4 linked regions of the Macaca fascicularis genome follow. The protein of the gene in region 4 interacts with the protein of the main gene of each other region in a pairwise test. Links are inferred from orthologs where the notes say so. Each region holds a gene or a part of one and is shown on either strand. Other genes may lie near its edges.

Region 1 (4,287 bases), on a different chromosome or scaffold from region 4:
AGTGATTTTCCTGAGAATAAGATATATTTTTCTGTTATCTTTATTTTTTAACATGTTGGCCTTTTTTTCCAACAAGATGTTGTCAACTTATGACATTTGTTGATTATCCTTACTATTATTATTTTCCTTAGCAGATTTTCCATGTGCAATTCAGAGAGGGTAGGTAACTTGCCCAAACACACAGCTTAAAGTTAGACCTCAATCAGAGGCAGTTGGTTTCAGAAGCCAGGCTCTGAACCACATTAATATACCTGAAAAAAACTTGATTTTTCATGCAACTTCTATGATTACAACAACAATAATTCTGAGTAGATGAGCTAGGTCCTATCACCAAGTAACATATCCTATCCTTGCCTATCTCCCAGTCCATGGATATTCCAGCTATGGATTTTGGTGATCTGATTGTTTTCCATGTTCCTAACCCTCAAATCCTGAGGGAATATTGGATTCAGACTAGAAATTATGAAATAAGCACACAAAGCACCTTTATATATACCTCAATAACTTTTCCACCAGAAACAAAGATATTTCTTGGCTGTTTCACTGAAACATGAGGTTCTGTAGTTAGCTCATAGAGAAAAGTCAGTTACTATTAGAGTAGGTTGTTATCACCTTCTGTTCTTTTAACAATTGTCAAGTACTTTTCACATTTATCAATGTGTTCTTATCACATTCATTAACCGCTTCATACCAATATTTTAAAAATATTACTTGCTTATCCATGTATTTGAAGCTAAAACAATGATCACAATCAGATCAATCTCTAGACAATGGTTGTAATGAATTTGTTCAAGAAAAGCATTCAAATTTGATGGAAAACTGAGCCTTTATAATTCATTCTACTTCTTCAACACAAAAATGAACTTTGGTGAGTCAAGAGGATCAACTGAGGCATTTATGCTTGAATGTGCTCCCCTAGGCTTAATGTATTTTTCCTCACTGCATTATATTTTAATGATTAATTTCATGCTCTTTCATGGTGTTTCAGCTCATGAATCACGGGTATTACTTTGAGGGAAAAGTAAGGTGCTGTGAGTGATGAAAGATGTTACTGATTAAAGTGTTGCACATATGAACTACATAAGAGCTGAAGGTGTTTGAACACCAGGAATCTAGACTAAAAGTAGTATTAGGCAAACTGGCCGTGTGGACTAAAGTTGAATTCAGTGGAGGGAGTGGAAAGGATGTGATTCTTAAATGTTCTTAGTTGAAACAATATATGAAATCAAGCTGGGCATTCAATGTTTCACTGGCATCTTTCTCCTCAGTAGAATGTAAGAACTGATTTCAAAGACAACTGCAGAGAAAGAAATCAGTTAAGCAGATAACACACTATTCTGAAATTAAACAGCCAAAAGCCACCCATCCTAAGACAACTCTGATATCTGAAATCAATACTGCCGTAATACTGCCAAAAGTTTGTTTTTCAACTTATTTAAAAAAAAAAAAAAAGTTAAGTCAAAGTCACAAGGACCAAAAAGGAATAGACTACCCTAAATGAAATACAGAAAAAGACAAGTATCTCTTATCCTGCACACAGATGAACAAATATCTGCTAAATATATCATATTGCTCAATATCAAAAAGTCAACTCTCCATAACAGAAACCAAAAGTAAACTAACTAGAGATGTCTACATAATACACTTTGGCTCTTGTTACTAAAATGATTTTTCAAACCAAGTTAGGGAGCTGGAGAAAACAGGACTACCTCCTCCCAGAATATAAAGTTTCTTCAATCAATTACAGAGGCAAAATGTGGCCACAGCAGCTATTTTGCAAACAGGTGGTTTGCAAAACTTTTACTTAAGCCGCCAAAAGGACTGACGAAAGGAAAATTTTGTTATTTCTAAAGAAAACACCCACACACACACATAATTTTCTACCAGAGTAGAAGACTCAAATAAAGAAAAGCCCCAAACAAAACGGAAAACTAAAAAGCAGTTTGTCTTAGCTCAAAAGTGCTGACTTTGGTTTAGTATGTGTAAAATCACTGTTTATAATTAAATCCTTTTCATCGCATGTATTAAGGTACTAGAGAGAAAGGCAATGCCATGTCGTTTCAGGTAGGACCTTATTTACAGAAAAAAAAAAAAAAAAGATGATTTTTTTCTTTTTAACAGAAACGGAGTGCAAGAGGGAATCAAAAACCGTTGAGAGGAGAGAAAAATACATTTGTTTTTCTGAGGGCACTGCATTTTTCATGTTCTGAATACTTTGTTCCACTCTCTCCATGTTAAATTATTTCATAAATAATACTATGGCTAGAGGCGACTGCTACAGCTGACACACAGATGTTTTATTTCTATATTTCACCTTTGCAAACAGCAGGATTCAGCTCCTGGAGATGGGGGCAGTGGAGAGGTGTCCAGAAACGACATACAGGAGGTGAAGGGGTAAAACGTGTGGGAAACAGGAGCTCCTACCCCCTAGAGTCCACCTCTCTGGAATTCCGGTGCTTCTTCAGTCACTGACATTCGGGGCAGGACAAGACATGATTCCTGAAATCTCTTCCGAAGTAAACAGGTCCCGACGCAAAGGGCACCCCCTCCAGTTGCGGAAAGTCCTCCCCTTCGCTCCCCGCCTGCCCACGCGGGTCTCTGGCTCCGCGCTCTTCCGCCTCCCCCGCAGATCTCCCACGGGGGAAACTTTCCCGCGTCTCTCACTCTCCAGGCCGCTGTGGCCGCGGGGACCTCCCCGGCACCGACCAGCAGGGCACCCCCCACCATCCCGCCACCACCGACGAACCAGGCGAAGTCCGTACCTCGATGTCCGCCGAGTCCTTACTGAGCACAGGGGCCATGGCAGTGCCTACAGTCTCGAGTCTGCCAGTGACAGACCCTCCTTGCGTCCTCAAGCTCCAGCCAGAGAGCCAAGTGACAGCAGCCGGAGCGCGAGTGGAAAATAGGCAGACTAGGGCCGGCGGCGCGGGGGCGGAGCGGGCGCGGAGCGGGCGCGGGGCGGCAACGCCCCCGGGGCGGGGCTGCGCGCTCGGTCCTGCGGCTCCCGCGCCAGGCACAGCAGCCGCAGTCCGGCCTTCCCAGTTCAGCCCGCTCCGCGCCCCAGCCTGGAAGCTTGTTTTCCTTCTGCAAGCGGAAGGGAGGGAGGGAGTACAGCACCCGCTCCGGGGACTGGCCTTTACTCTCTAAACTGCTAAAAACTGAGCTAGGCAGGCGGGGCCAGATACGAGGAATCCCCGGGATTAAAGGTAAAAGCAGTCCGCGCTCCAAGCAACAGCTTGCACTTTTTCTTTTCTTCGGCACAAACCCCGCGAGATGTAGATACATTGTCGGAGGGGCAACTGCATCTTCAGGAACTCCTCAGGGATGAAGTAGTAGATGTTCCTCCATCCATCCACCAAGTAGGCGGGCGGGGTTTGAACTGCAGTGGAGGATAACAGAGCATGGGTCTTCAGAGAGTTCACAGTCCCTGCGGGGAGGGGAGGGAGGCGAGCAAAAACATCCACAGCCCGCAGCAGCATACAGGAAGTGCCGCAGGTGGTACATAATCAAGGTTGTCTTTTTGCAGGAAAATCCCATTTTAATGGTCATTTTTAAAAATATATTTTTATTCTAAAATGTGAAGCTCTTTTGAAAAGTTGCTCTTCATTTTTGCTCCAGAGCTTGCTGAGGAAAAGGGAGAGATTTCCTGTAGAGTTGGTCCCAATCCAGAAAACATTCACCTTGTTTTTGAGGATCTCTGTACTCCAGACCTCTCTCCTTTTCTTCCCGTCCCACCCCCGTTAGATGCATCCCACATCTCTTCTACCATAACACTTTCTGTTAGGACATTTGCGGCACTCCTTCATGCTTTTGGCTAGACAGTGACACCTTGGAGTCAGGTATTTTTCCCTTATCATTATTTTTTCATTAGGTCATTCATCGCTTTATTCAACAAATATGTTTATTGAGCATTTTCAATATGCCAGTCACAGACACTGTGCTAGGTTCTCCGGATATAATCTTCAGGAATACACATCACTCTCATGGAGATTATACTCAGAATAAGCAAGTAAGCAAAATGTGATGCCTGCTTGTAAGATGAAAGAATAATAGGACAGAATAGCTAGGGCATGGGTACCTTAAGTGGTTGAGAAGGCTTCTCTGAACCATCAGATTGCCTTCCAGACCTGGAACTTACTAAGAAATGGATACATTTTTCTTGAATCAAATATTAAGAGACACTAGAAAGTTAAATGGAAACCTTAGAATCATCTTTGACTCCTTTATCCTCATTGCCTCATTTAATCTATGCCCAAACTCTGAGGAGTCAACCTCCCAAATAGATTT
Region 2 (4,308 bases), on a different chromosome or scaffold from region 4:
GAAATAAGCTATAATTTTAATTTCATTGAAAAAAGAAGAAGAAAATGAGTGTTATTCCAGACACTAATTCTACTCTGAGAAGAAGTAAAGCAATGTGTTTAAGGTTTGGATATATGAAGAAAAACATGTTAATAAATAAGATCTATTCTTTTTTACTTTGAATATACTGTATTTTACACTATCTATTACAATGTGAATTTTATATATGCTTTTCACCCATTGAAATGAAACTTATACAATGCCTTTACTTGATAATAACTTGGTGATTCCATAGTTTTAAGACTATTTGGTCGCTGTGTGTTTGTTGATATCACATATCAAAAAGAAACAGAGGAAAGTCAGTGCATCCCCAGTGTCATTCCTGGCCACCTCACATGTCTCATTTGTGAATAGGTAGTATTCAATGCAAATCAGTGATGACATTTTCTCTGAGAATGCAAAAGATAATCTTCTCTAAGTAGATTTAAGAAAATGTAGGAGATAGAAAAGCATAAGTGTTGAATATGAGAGCAGCTAATTTAAATGTAAAAATTACCCCTTATTTGCAGTGTCAGTCTCTCTTCTCTCAATTCCCAAAGGAAATGCGTGGCCCAACTGACAGAATGGTGATTGGTCTGGATTTATAGAATATTGGAATGGATCTTTGGACTGTTGTCTCACTGCCTCCTCCCTGCACCCTATAATCCCGATGTCCACTTCAAACCATTCTGCTTGACTTCTGCCAGATTCACATTCCTAGAATACCAGTACAGCATAGTGGAAATAGCGCTGGAGCCAGAAATACATCTGAAATTCTGGTTCCCTCACTATCTTTATCTGTGGCTTTCAGCAAATCATTGAACATTTCTGAACATCAGGTTCCTTCATGTGCAAAATGAAAATAATGTGTAAAATATTGTTCATTTTATTGCATAGTTATAAAAATTGTGGATATGTATGTAAATCATCTTGCATGCAGCAACTGCTATTATGTATTGGCAAAATGATGATGATGATGGTGATGGTAATGATGATGAAAAGAGGCACAGAAACTCCATCTCTTTTCAGAAACTTGCAATTGGACCCTTTGTATGATATGTAAAGACCAAATTTTTCTGTGTGAAATGTTAAGATGCTCTATAAATTTTTCCTGCTCTATGTATTGAGTACAATGTCTGCTACTCACAAAGGCATATTTTTTCTGCTCCAATCAATGAATTACTCACCGTTCTTTTGTGCTATGTGCTAATTCATGTTCAAAACCCTTTTTGCCAATTACTTGTTCAAAGTAGAGTATTCCTCTTGCTTTCAGCACCTATCCAAGTTCTACTAGTTTTTCAACACTCAGTTCAAGAAGTTGAACTTTTCTTTAAAGGCTCTGGCATCTCTTTAGGACTGATATACCTGCTAAAAAGGGAATTTCTGAATATTTTGGCATTATGGCAGAATTCAATTGGTCTTGTAATATCAGCATAAGAGATATGATGACCTGAGATCATTTTTTGTATTTTAAGAATTACAGCCATAGTTTTGTGGCTCTAATAATTAGATAAAACAATCATAAATTATTTTGAAGCCACGCCCATAGTGAGGCCCAAAAACTATGTCCCAGTGATCAAGCAATTATTGACTCCAATGATAACATATGAAGTATGCAAAAGAGAGACAATGAAATGATCTATGATTTCATAAGAACATATGAGATTTTGGAAAATAAAGCAATTCACATAAAGCATTTTTCTGAATATTTTCAAATACATCACACAAACCTACATAGATACTGTGTCACTAACTTATAAATATTTCTCTCTAATTTATTGTTTTCATTAAAATATGAAATAGAATTCAGGAATATTTACTGGATATATAAGAATATTTATTGTCAATAACATATTTTACTAACAAGAGAATATTTACTCAAAAGTTGTAATAACACTATTTCCCACAAAAATGATAGCAAAAACACATTCACATTATTTTAGAAAACAGAAAAGCTGGCATTGATGTAAATAAGAACATCAATAAATACTTTATATATTTTGGTGCCTATGTTACTGACATATTTCTAATTACATTTTTAAAGAATCTTTCTTATATTGAATAAATGTACCCACTTGACACTCAATTGATAATTTATCTTTGCAGAAAACATAAGCAAATGCTTCTCGATGGTTTCCAGAGATTTTTTTCAGTTTTACAATTTATTTCTATATAACTAAACATCATTGTTATTATGCACAGGATTTTATTAGTTTATTCTGTATCCCTATCTCCTCCACATTATACACGTAACACGTAAAGAAATCAATATTCGTGCTAAGTTTGAAATATACTTTCCATTAATGAATACAATAATTTAGCATGAAGACTCAACAAATGAAAAGAACTCAAGGCACATGAGGCATAGATAGAAAGGTTTTCATAACACTTTTACTTTTTTACTGTAAGAATATAGATTCCTTCAAACACAATGACTAATTCACATTCATTTGGAACTATGAAACAAAATTTTAATATCAACATACACTATTGCTGTCTAAATGTAGAGTTGAAATTCTTACCTGAGTTTGGCTTAGTATACAGTTATTTTTTAAAGACAGGAAATGTATGACAAATTGTCAGGATGATAACACCCACAGTGGAAAAATGAAAGAGGAAAGGAAGAAATCACTTTAAAAAGAAACTCCAAATCCTTCTGCTTCCCAGCTCTACAGTAGTTTTGCTCTGCATCTTGTAAGCAACTGTCTTTGCTCCGAGAACAACACATGCTCTGCCTCAGCAGGAAAATATAAAAATTAAATAGAAAACCACAAGGTTATTAAACACTCTTACCCTCTGGGCTTGCTGGGCTGCTCCAGCGTCTCAGTTGCAGCCACATGTGTAAACAACAGAATTTCCTGCATCCTTTTCTCATCTGTACAGTTCTGGAGTCCTAGCCAACAGGATTATTTCCAGCATTAAGGGCACTCCACACAAACTCAAAAAAGATTCCCATTGGTTGTGAAATTTTATTGAAACCACTACCACAACCCCCTCTTTGGATCACCATTGAGCCAACCAAAATAAAATCATTTTTAATGTTCCCTAAGTATGGTTATCCAAAGCTTTCCATGCAAGCATTTGAAACCTGTACTGTGGATGAAAAAGAAAAAGACACCCACGCCTTCATCCCCAAGTGTACTTAATGTTTAATTACAACAGTATAACTTGTAATAATAATAGAAAAAACTAAAATAGCAAAGCAAAATAAAAGCCTAGAAAGTACCTATCTGCAAAATATTTAAAATAATTATACTGCAGATTACAAGAACAATATAAAATATTCATCCAATCTGATTTGCATTAGATTGCACAAAATCAAAAGCAAAAGAAATCATATTTAATAAAAGATTTGAGTATACAAATTATGAAACAAGAACTGTATATCAAAACCCTTGATCGTGGTCACATTGGCAGGAATGTGAGCTGTAGTCCCTGGGGTGCCCAGTGAAAGCTCCCTGGCTTTTTCCCCTTTCCCTGGGGAAAAAGAATATGAAGTAGCTTTCCAGTGACATGACTCGGCTGTCAGGAGGTGTTCTGATGGGGGTTGTCGGGGGAGGTCAAAGACCGCATAAAAGAGAGCTTCTGTGGTTGAAACTAGCAGTAAAAAATGTCCAAAGTAGAAAATAAAAAGTCAAAAGGTAACAGGATTGACTTGCTCCTTGTAAGTAGCACAAAAACAACATGTGAAATGTAGGCAATAATGTCTTCAAATTGTTTTATTTTTCACCCTTCCCTAATTTGTAGGCTTATTCTGGTGTTATCGTCTATCTCTACTTAATATTCTTTTCCCACTTACTTTCTGATGCAATGGAAAAAGTGGCCAGCTTCCTATATAAAGCCAACTGACCCATTCGAGCTAAACTTAATCATGATTCTCGCTCCTCTATCTTTGAACATTCCCTCTTGTCCGGATTTTCCCCACGAGATGTTAAATCCCATACATTCCTTGGTCAATTTCATGTATGCCGATGAACTTTACTTTCAATTCAGTCATTTTCACTTTCAGGTACCATTCCTTCCATCATGGCCAAATGATTGAAAGTTCTCCAGCCAAGAATTTTATTTAGTCTTGCATCCATCTGATTTTAATTCATCAAAGTGACTACACACACATACACACACACACACACACACACACACACACATGCATGCACATAAATATTCTATTTATTTTTAATTTTTCCAATTCACCTCAATCCTTCTTCTAGTTGACATCTACACAGCCTTTCATACTGTTCACAACCCTGCCCACATGAAGACATCTCTTATCTTGGCACAACACTCTCC
Region 3 (4,354 bases), on a different chromosome or scaffold from region 4:
GCAGCCCAGCCAGTACTGGGCGATGGAGCGTGGGTAGGGAGGGTCCACAGCGTCCACTCGCCGTGTGCGAAGGTTGACTCGGTAGTACTTGTCTGGAAGAGAGGAAAGCAGAGGGTGCGTGAGGCCCAGCCTGGCCCTGCCCACTCTTCCCTTAAGAAAGTCTCAGAAAGGAAAGTGAACATCCACGATGCAGCTAAGGACTTCTGGCCCGGCTTTCTGTGGTCACTACCTGCGGGCTGTATTCAGCCCTTATGGACCAGGGACAGCAAGGAAAACCCAAGCTAGAGCAGCTTCAGGGGTGGCAAGGGCTCCTACCTCCAGAGAAGAAGAAGACACTCTGGATGGGTTCACAGGTGGCAGGCACAAGCCAGTCCATCCTGTAGTCATCATAGTTGTTGGCTCCCAAGTTACTCTCCTCACTGGAGAACAAGGACAGCCGCCACGTGGGGCGGGATGGCCGGCGGGAGTTCTGGTTGCGGCCACGGCTGTGGCCTCGGTCTGAACGGTAGCCTTTGCGGTTGCGACGCCTAAACTTTTGCTTCTTGGCCAAGGAGGGGTGGGGTGCCATGCCTGAGACGTAGATGCGGCCAGCCATGGCTGCGTCCACTTGCCCTGGCACACCATGCCAGTCCCGGCTAATGAACTGGGGCTGTCTCATACCAGCTGTGGCAGGGAAGGGGTGAATGAGAGGTCTTAGGGGTCTGAATCTTGCCCCCTCCAGCAAGGTCATTAGAGTTCATCTGCTGCATCTTGCCCAAAGACACACAGCAGCGAATGGCAGAGCCAGGCCTTTGATTCTCAGTCCAATGCCCTTCACTGTGTGCTCCCTCCACCATATCACTGGTGTCTAGACCCCACCCCACCCCCAGGCCCCCTAAACTCCTCAGCCATAGCCCCTCCCTCTGCTGGCTGTGCCCTCGGCTGTGCTAGGCAAAGTCCAAGGTGTGGGGTCCAGGTAGAGCCGAGCTTCCCCCAAAAGGTCAACAGAAGCAAAGTCTGGCCTGAGCAAATAGACTTTGATCGATAGCTCCACAACCACAGCCCCCTCCAGCCAACCTGGCTCTACCACTAGCCAGGGGTTTCAGCCCTTTTGAAGGAGAAGAAAGACTTGCCCTCTCTCCATACCAGAGGTTCTGCCCCAGAAAAGAAGCTCGAAGATGTCCTCCCAGCTGTCCCGCTGCATCACGGCAAAGTGCTCAAACACAGCCGACCGGGAGCTGCCTTCACACTCCTCCTGACTGGGCTGGTGCTGGAACTGGTACTCCCAGTACTGTTTCCCTGGGGAGCGGGGTGGTGGGCATTAGGAGGGCTGGGCCAGAGCCAGACTGGAGATCCCAGAGGCTGTTGAAGTTAGGATCTCCCAGCATGAGGTGGGGGTATGGGGTGGGCACATGCTGAGGCCTGTCCCCAGTGAAGTGTGAAAGGAATCCAAGACTGCTCCACTGCCTGCTCAGTCTCCCACCCACCCCCTGAGTACCCTTGAAGAAGTAGACCCGCTCCCTGCCACTGTAGCTATGGGCAGGGAGGGCCAAGGCTGCGTCCACATTGTCTGGCATGCCATCGAAGCCATCAGAGATATTTCGGGGGTAATCAGGGTCCAGGACACCATCCTCAAAGCGCCAGTACTGACTACCCTAAGAGGTGGGGAAAGTGAAAAGGGGTATGGAGGCTGCTGGCTAGGCACAGAGGCAGAGTCCCTTGCCCTAAGGCAGCCGTTCCCAGGTTCAGGTTCACTGCCCAGGACCTGGAGTCTTGGGGCTGCCCTGTGCTCACAGAGCGCCCACCAGGTCCTGCAGCGCCCTGGGTCCAGCCTCCCTGTCCACCCTGTCCCTGGGAGCAATAGCTCTCAAACCCTCCCTAGATGCTTTCTACCCTGGTCCACAGCTGCTGGCACCTTGAAGAGGTAGGTCTTCCCCTGACAGTTGATGCGGGTGAAGGCGGCATCAATGGGGCCCTCGATGCCCCAGACATCTCGGATGAGCTTGGGGTACCCAGGCCTCACTGCCTTTTCATCCAGTTCATAGCAGTACTGCCCTACAGTGGAGGAGGTGGTGTGAGAGCGGGGACGCTCCTGGGGCAGACCCCCATCCCCAATACCTGCCCTGGATTCACCTCGGAAGGCAAAGAGGGAACCGTTCTTGAGGTCGGTGAAGGCGTCGAAGGGTTTCCCACTGCATAGCTCCTCCTCTGCTGGGAGCTCAGGGGTCCCTGGACGAAGGGTCTCGGGCCTTGAGCCCGTCCCCTCAGGCTTAGAGATGCCCACCTCAGGTGCAGGGGATTCTTCCTCAGGGTTCAGAACAGTTGCCTGCTCAGGATTCCCTTCGGGCTGGGCCTGGAGGTCAGGGCTCGGGGAGGAGCCCTCCGGCTGTTCATGGATGGTGGCATTGTTTTTCTCCTCACCGTAGTCATAGGTCACATACTCATCCTCCGGCATAGTGAACACATCCCCACGAGTCACTGCAGAGAGTGGATGGTAGTGAGTCTCCAGCTGCAAGGGGCACCCCAGCCCACCCACCTGGGCTCTGAACACACCTTGGGGCTTGCACTCAGCCGTATAGTCTGTGCAGCAGCTCTGGTAGTAAGAGCAGAGCTCATCACACTGGCACTTCTTGTCAGCATTGAAGCCCTCAGTGCAGCGGCCCTTGCATGACTCTTTGAGGAAGGGGTGTCAGTAGGTGCTGCCAAGCCCGGGCCACCCTCACCCTCCCTACATTGACTCAGATGGCCACCAACACCCCCCTGTACCTTGGTCAGCCACAGCAACCCATGCCAGCAGGGCCAGCATGAGAAGGGGTCTCAGGGGTGCCATGGTGGGACTTCTAGCTCAGTGCCTGGCAAGCTGGGCTCTGATCTCCCTGAAGTCTCCTCCCTGATGCCTGAGGAAGGGAGGGAGAGGCAGAGACAGGGAGGGAGGGGACTGAAGAAGAGGAACTGCCTTTTCTGCTGCTCTGTTTGCTCAACCTCCAGCCCATCCCCTCTGCCCCCTCCAGCGGCTGCTGCAGCAAAGGTCACATTCCTGGAACACTGGGCCTGGGAGAGCTGGGAGATAAGACCTTTGCCAAGCTCAGAATCATTAGGTCATCAGAAGGGGAATTAGCACCGCGGATCTGGAGGCCAGAAAGAAGGCTCATTGGGCAACAGCTTTATCTCTCTGAGTCTTAGTTCAGTTTCAGTAAAATGGGATTAACCCCCTTGCCTCATGGGGTGTTGGGAGATTACATGAACTGGAACAGACAAAATGCCCAGTAGCTGGAGCAGTCACAAATTCCTTCTCCAAACATGGCTATTGATCCATGATTGTTTGATCAGACACATCCCTGGCTGGGTGCTCATTCGCCATTGTTTATTTAGGGCAGGAAAAAGGGAGTGGGAGGAGAATTTGTAAGCACTCTGGGGAATTTTCTTTTTTAGCATAAAAGAACAAAGTTTCATTTCTGGGTTCTTCGCTTGGGTGCATCAATCTCCCCAGGCTGGAAATTTGGGTAAATATCAACCCACTGAACTAGATTTGATTTCTGAGTCTTTTCTGAGCAGGTCACTCCCTGTCCCCAGCCTCAGTCTTCCCATCTGTAAAGAGTGGGCTTGTTCACACTTTTAGACTCTCAAGAGAAATACGATCCCTCTACCTGGAAAATGCCCACTGGCGTGAAACACCTGATTTTGTGCCCAATTTCAGGTGTCCACAGAGCTTCTGAAGTCCTGCCATCACCTGAAAAAAAAAGTGATCCTGAGATTTTAGCTGATTTTTCTGTTCTGTAATCAGAGGGGACTGTGATTTTGGCCAATCTCTTCCTCATGGGCTTCAGTGGAGTCAGCTGTGGAATGGAACACCGATTCCCACCCCAGAGGCATGTTGTGAGGTCTAGCTGAGAAACAGGCATAAAAGGGCCTTAAGAGTTATGATGATTGTTTTAACCACTTAGTAGGGAGGGGGCACGCAGCGGTGTTGCTCCCACGTACTGGTGTCACGCGGGGCGGGGAAGAGGAGGTGGAGAACGGAGACTGTCATCTCATTTTCGACCCCCTTCCTCCAAGTCCAGCGCAGGAGGAGGCGGCTGCGACTGAGGGGCTGGGAAAGGCTGGCCAGGGGCGTGGGCGTGGCTGGGGACGACTTGGGGGTGGGGCTGCGCAGGAGGCTGGAGGAGCCCCGCTGGACCCAGAGGCGGGGCATCGGCCCCGGGTCCGCTGCGGTTCCAGGGCGTGGCTGCTGCCGAGCATCTCCCAGCTCAGCCGAGCCCCTGCCCGGGCAACGCTTTGTTCCAGCCGCCGCCTCCTCTACCCTCCGGCGTCCGGAGCCATCCCTCGCCTCCTCTCTCTCTCCTTTCGCCCACTCCCTGCATCTTGGCCTGCATCA
Region 4 (4,233 bases):
ATAGTTGAGAGTTAGTAGCCTCACTAGCCTGTCTTGAGTAAAGGTCATGTCTCATTCATTTTTGTGTCTTCAGTGTCGCAACAGAGTTCTGCATTCAATATATTTGTAAATATATGAATTCACAATTTTGATTTTCTGAAATGTCACGTGTGGGAACGCCGTACGTTTTCAAATGTGCCAAATAACAAGGCTTCAGCCATGAATGGATCACATAAACTATGGTGATCCTATAAGAGTATATGCCATGTTTTTACTGTACCTTTTCTATGTTTAGGTAAGTTTAAATACACAAATAGTTACCACTGTATTGTAATTGCCTACCGTATTCAGAATGGCAACATGCTGTACAGGTTTACAGCCTAAGAGCAATAGGCTACATCATACAGCCTGGGTGTGTAGTAGGCTATACTATCTAGGTTTGTGTTTAAATACACTCTAGGATGTTCCCTAGGGGATGATTAACCTAAGGACACATTCCTAAGAACATATCCCCATCTTAAGTGAAGCACTACTGTAGTTGCTTTTGAAATGTGTGACCTATGGCGTATTAAGAGGAATACCGTGTGCCAAGAAGTGACGCTAAGAGTTTATCTTACAACTAACTGAGTTAAGTAAAATTTGGAAACTTGGTTTCGAGGTTAACTAAGACATGTAAGGTGACACAGGTAGTATGTGACAGAGGGTAAGAACTGAACGTTCACCAGGTCTACCTGACCCTTAATCACAATACAAAAAGTTTTCTATTAATTCCGCAAAATCTGGTCAGCCGCTTCAATGCGCAGCGTTAGGCAGTCCACACCTGGAATTTGGGGTTGGTTTACCAAGAACAGCCAGGGTGTACGCCCACTCCATCCTAACCAGGAACTGGAATCCAAAAGGTAAAACGTGGCTATTGCGCATGCTCACACCGCCCTTCCTTGCTCTCCCCTCCCTGACCCTAGACGCCACCGCAGCAACTTTCTGGGAGGACTTTGGAATAGCTCCCGCCAACTGTTAAGTCAAACCGGCGGAAATCCTTCCTTTCTGCGACGTGGACACCTTTCTCATCCTCGGGCCTTTCCAACCAGGATGCAGAAACCACGCGGCTCCGTTTCTCAGGGATTCAAGCCGTAGTTTGCCAGTTGTTAATATGGCGGCTAACAGGCAGGTCCCAAGCTGAGGCCTTTCATAGGCCAAGGTCGCATCCTGGCCCCGCCCATTTTGTCCCTCCAGGCTGCGTCCGCCCAGCTCTTCGCTACGCATGCGCAGCGGGGGCAAGCTGGGAGGTGGGACAGACAGAATCTTCCGTGTGTCGCCGCCGCTGCCGCCTCAGCCTCAGCCTCGTTACTCCTGCGGTTCTGTGGCTGTGTTGCTGGCGTTAACGGCGCGAGGTGAAGAGAGGTGACGGAAGGTGCGCGCGCGCGCGCGGGGGGTCCCCTCAGTCCCAGCAGTTCCCTTCGTGCGGGTGGGGCGGAGAGGGTCTTCAGCAGTCGGGAGAGGCCCTTGACGGCGCCATGTCGGCGGGCGGTCCATGCCCAGCAGCAGCCGGAGGGGGCCCAGGGGGCGCCTCCTGCTCCGCCGGGGCCCCCGGCGGGGTATCCATGTTCCGGTGGCTGGAGGTGCTGGAGAAGGAGTTCGACAAGGCTTTTGTGGATGTGGATCTGCTCCTGGGCGAGATCGATCCAGACCAGGCGGACATCACTTATGAGGGGCGACAGAAGATGACCAGCCTGAGCTCCTGCTTTGCACAGCTTTGCCACAAAGCCCAGTCTGTGTCTCAAATCAACCACAAGCTGGAGGTGAGCCGTGGGCGCTGGCGGCTATGGCATCCAACCCCGGGCTGCCCGGTGGCGTCAGATCCCATTTAACGCTCCAGTGAAACGACCCTAGAAAACTGCCCACCGGGGCTTCCAAATGTGATGGGAGAGTGCATGTCTGTGTGTGCGAAGGAGAGGAGTGAGGTGAGGGTGGGGGACAAAAAGGGCCCTAGACCGACACGTGAGTCTCCCCGGGGTACTGTCGTCCACCTTCCTAGTATCTCTCTGAGGCGGAAACTAATTACATACACTAGCCCCCCTTTTACGTGTTACATTAACAAACCTAACAAAGATTCTCTGTCATGAAAATACCGTAGGCCACCTTTTGACAATTGAGTTTTGCAGATCTACTTTCACATTGATAAACCGAATTTGTATATGTTCAGACAGATACAGCCCTGATTATTTTCATTTTAAATATTTCAGGTCAGCGCCTATTACTGCATACAGAGACATGCATAAACTATTTAGGGGAATCTGATCAAAGCTCTTAGGAAAATTTCGTGGTGCATAACGATAGTATCATTGTCTCGGTTTACATCCATAGTTGGTCCTTAAATTACAGGCAGATACCTCCAGAGAGCTTCCTGCAATTATTGAAATTACTTCTGACATTGAGTTTTTATATGCTTGTACATTACTGTGTAATTTTCCAAAGTCTAGATTTATTTTTGAGAGAGTATAAAGCATCATTTGCTTTAATCTCTGATGCTGGGTGTGGGTGAGGGTGGAGTGGCTGTGATTCAAAACAAAAAACTATCACGTTGTGCAGAAAATTTAAAAAGGGCATTATTACAATATTTATAAATCAAGATAGATTAACATTATTGCATAAAGAGTATTTTCTAACTAGGCAATTTAAGAGAATGGGTCTTTCTTTTCAAAAAGTATAATAGATAAAAATGGGATAATCAGTGATGTGCAAAACTCTTCGAACATTAGCTTTCCTAAGAAATCATTACTCGTTGTCATTGAGAGTGCCCATTGTATCTATATCAATATGAATGTCAGATAAACATCCTCTCCTTGCCTAGTGGTCAGCATTCTTTTTCTCCTATTAGCCATGAAGTATGTGGCATAATTAATCCTTGATTAACATAGATGTACATATCCAAGAATTGTGGCTCTTCTCCACTGCAAGAACTGTTAATTTCTTCTATCCTTTTTGAAAAGATTAGAAAGTGCTAATATGGCCGGGCGCGGTGGCTCAAGCCTGTAATCCCAGCACTTTGGGAGGCCGAGGCGGGCGGATCACGAGGTCAGGAGATCGAGACCATCCTGGCTAACACGGTGAAACCCCGTCTCTACTAAAAATACAAAAAACTAGCCGGGCGCGGTGGCGGGCGCCTGTAGTCCCAGCTACTCGGGAGGCTGAGGCAGGAGAATGGCGTAAACCCGGGAGGCGGAACTTGCAGTGAGCTGAGATCTGGCCACTGCACTCCAGCCTGGGTGACAGAGCAAGACTCCATCTCAAAAAAAAAAAAAAAAAAAGTGCTAATATGAAGGTAATCACTTCTTACTGTAGGTAAATGAAAACATCTCTTGATTTCTTTATTAGTATTAATTTTCACAAGAAAGCTATTTTTCTGATTTCATTCTGATAGTGAAATTACATTTAATGTTTTATAGAAATAGTACTTTAACTTTATTTCATTTTATTTTATCTTACTGTATTTAAAAAAAAAAGAGATGGAGTGCTTTGTTGCCCAGGTTGGTCTTGAATTCCTGGCCTCAAGTGATCACCCTCCTGCCTCGGCCTCCCAAAGTGCTTTGATTACAGACATGAGCCAGCTGTGCCCGGTCATTAGTTCTCTAGCTTTAAACAACAACGATCAAAAGTAGCTTTTGCCACATGATATAATTTGAATGTGTCCCCCAAATTTCGTGTATGGGAAACTTAATCCCCAATGTGACAGTACTGAATCTCCAATATGGGGCCTTTAACAGGAGAGTGGATTATGAGTACTCAGTTCTTATGAATGGATTAATCCACTCATAGATTGATTTGTTATTGGATTAATGGATGAATGAGTTATCATAGGAGTGTAAAAGTGGTGGCTTATAAGAAGAGGAAGAGAGACCTGAGTAAGCATGTTAGCATGCTCAGCCCCCTTGCCATGTGACACCCTATGCTGCCTCCATACTCTGCACAGATCCCCTGCCAGCAAGAAGGCTCTCGACTTCTCGAGATCTGGCCCCTCGACCTTGGACTTCTCTGTCTCCATAACTGTAAGAAATAAATTCCTTTTATTTATAAATTACCTAGTTTCTGGTATTCTGTCAACAGAAAGTGGACTAAAACATCACATGAGAAATTTCATATCATTTACAACTGCAGTATCAACTGGGCATTAACAACTTTTTTTAAATGAAACAATATTTATTTTTAAAATGACCTAAGGAAACTTTAAACAGGGATTTTTTTTTTTTTTGATGT

The links.
Region 1: the proteins of GOPC (region 4) and DPYD interact in a two-hybrid assay, tested with the Homo sapiens proteins (2 studies listed by BioGRID and IntAct). The link is inferred for Macaca fascicularis from reciprocal best matches to the Homo sapiens genes GOPC and DPYD.
Region 2: the proteins of GOPC (region 4) and CCDC102B interact in binary tests that used the Homo sapiens proteins (3 or more experiments, as listed by UniProt). The two-hybrid records come from large-scale screens. The link is inferred for Macaca fascicularis from reciprocal best matches to the Homo sapiens genes GOPC and CCDC102B.
Region 3: the proteins of GOPC (region 4) and VTN interact in binary tests that used the Homo sapiens proteins (3 or more experiments, as listed by UniProt). The two-hybrid records come from large-scale screens. The link is inferred for Macaca fascicularis from reciprocal best matches to the Homo sapiens genes GOPC and VTN.

The regions. Positions count from the first base shown.
Region 1 is NC_088375.1:136,472,196-136,476,482, reverse strand, and holds the start of DPYD (dihydropyrimidine dehydrogenase [NADP(+)]), read right to left. Parts: upstream 2,914-4,287; 5' UTR 2,802-2,913; coding exon 2,763-2,801; intron 2,535-2,762; exon of another isoform or gene 2,315-2,534; intron 1-2,314.
Region 2 is NC_088392.1:11,861,853-11,866,160, forward strand, and holds the start of CCDC102B (coiled-coil domain-containing protein 102B), read right to left. Parts: upstream 2,914-4,308; 5' UTR 2,812-2,913; exon of another isoform or gene 2,541-2,811; intron 1-2,540. UniProt on the Homo sapiens protein: During interphase, forms fibers at the proximal ends of centrioles to maintain centrosome cohesion. During mitosis, dissociates from the centrosome following phosphorylation to allow centrosome separation. Contributes to CROCC/rootletin filament formation.
Region 3 is NC_088390.1:33,829,554-33,833,907, forward strand, and holds the start of VTN (vitronectin), read right to left. Parts: upstream 2,914-4,354; 5' UTR 2,810-2,913; coding exon 2,746-2,809; intron 2,653-2,745; coding exon 2,533-2,652; intron 2,458-2,532; coding exon 2,113-2,457; intron 2,035-2,112; coding exon 1,895-2,034; intron 1,635-1,894; coding exon 1,478-1,634; intron 1,279-1,477; coding exon 1,126-1,278; intron 664-1,125; coding exon 316-663; intron 93-315; coding exon 1-92. UniProt on the Homo sapiens protein: Vitronectin is a cell adhesion and spreading factor found in serum and tissues. Vitronectin interact with glycosaminoglycans and proteoglycans. Is recognized by certain members of the integrin family and serves as a cell-to-substrate adhesion molecule.
Region 4 is NC_088378.1:21,560,800-21,565,032, reverse strand, and holds the start of GOPC (Golgi-associated PDZ and coiled-coil motif-containing protein), read left to right. Parts: upstream 1-1,272; 5' UTR 1,273-1,493; coding exon 1,494-1,778; intron 1,779-3,949; exon of another isoform or gene 3,950-4,025; intron 4,026-4,233.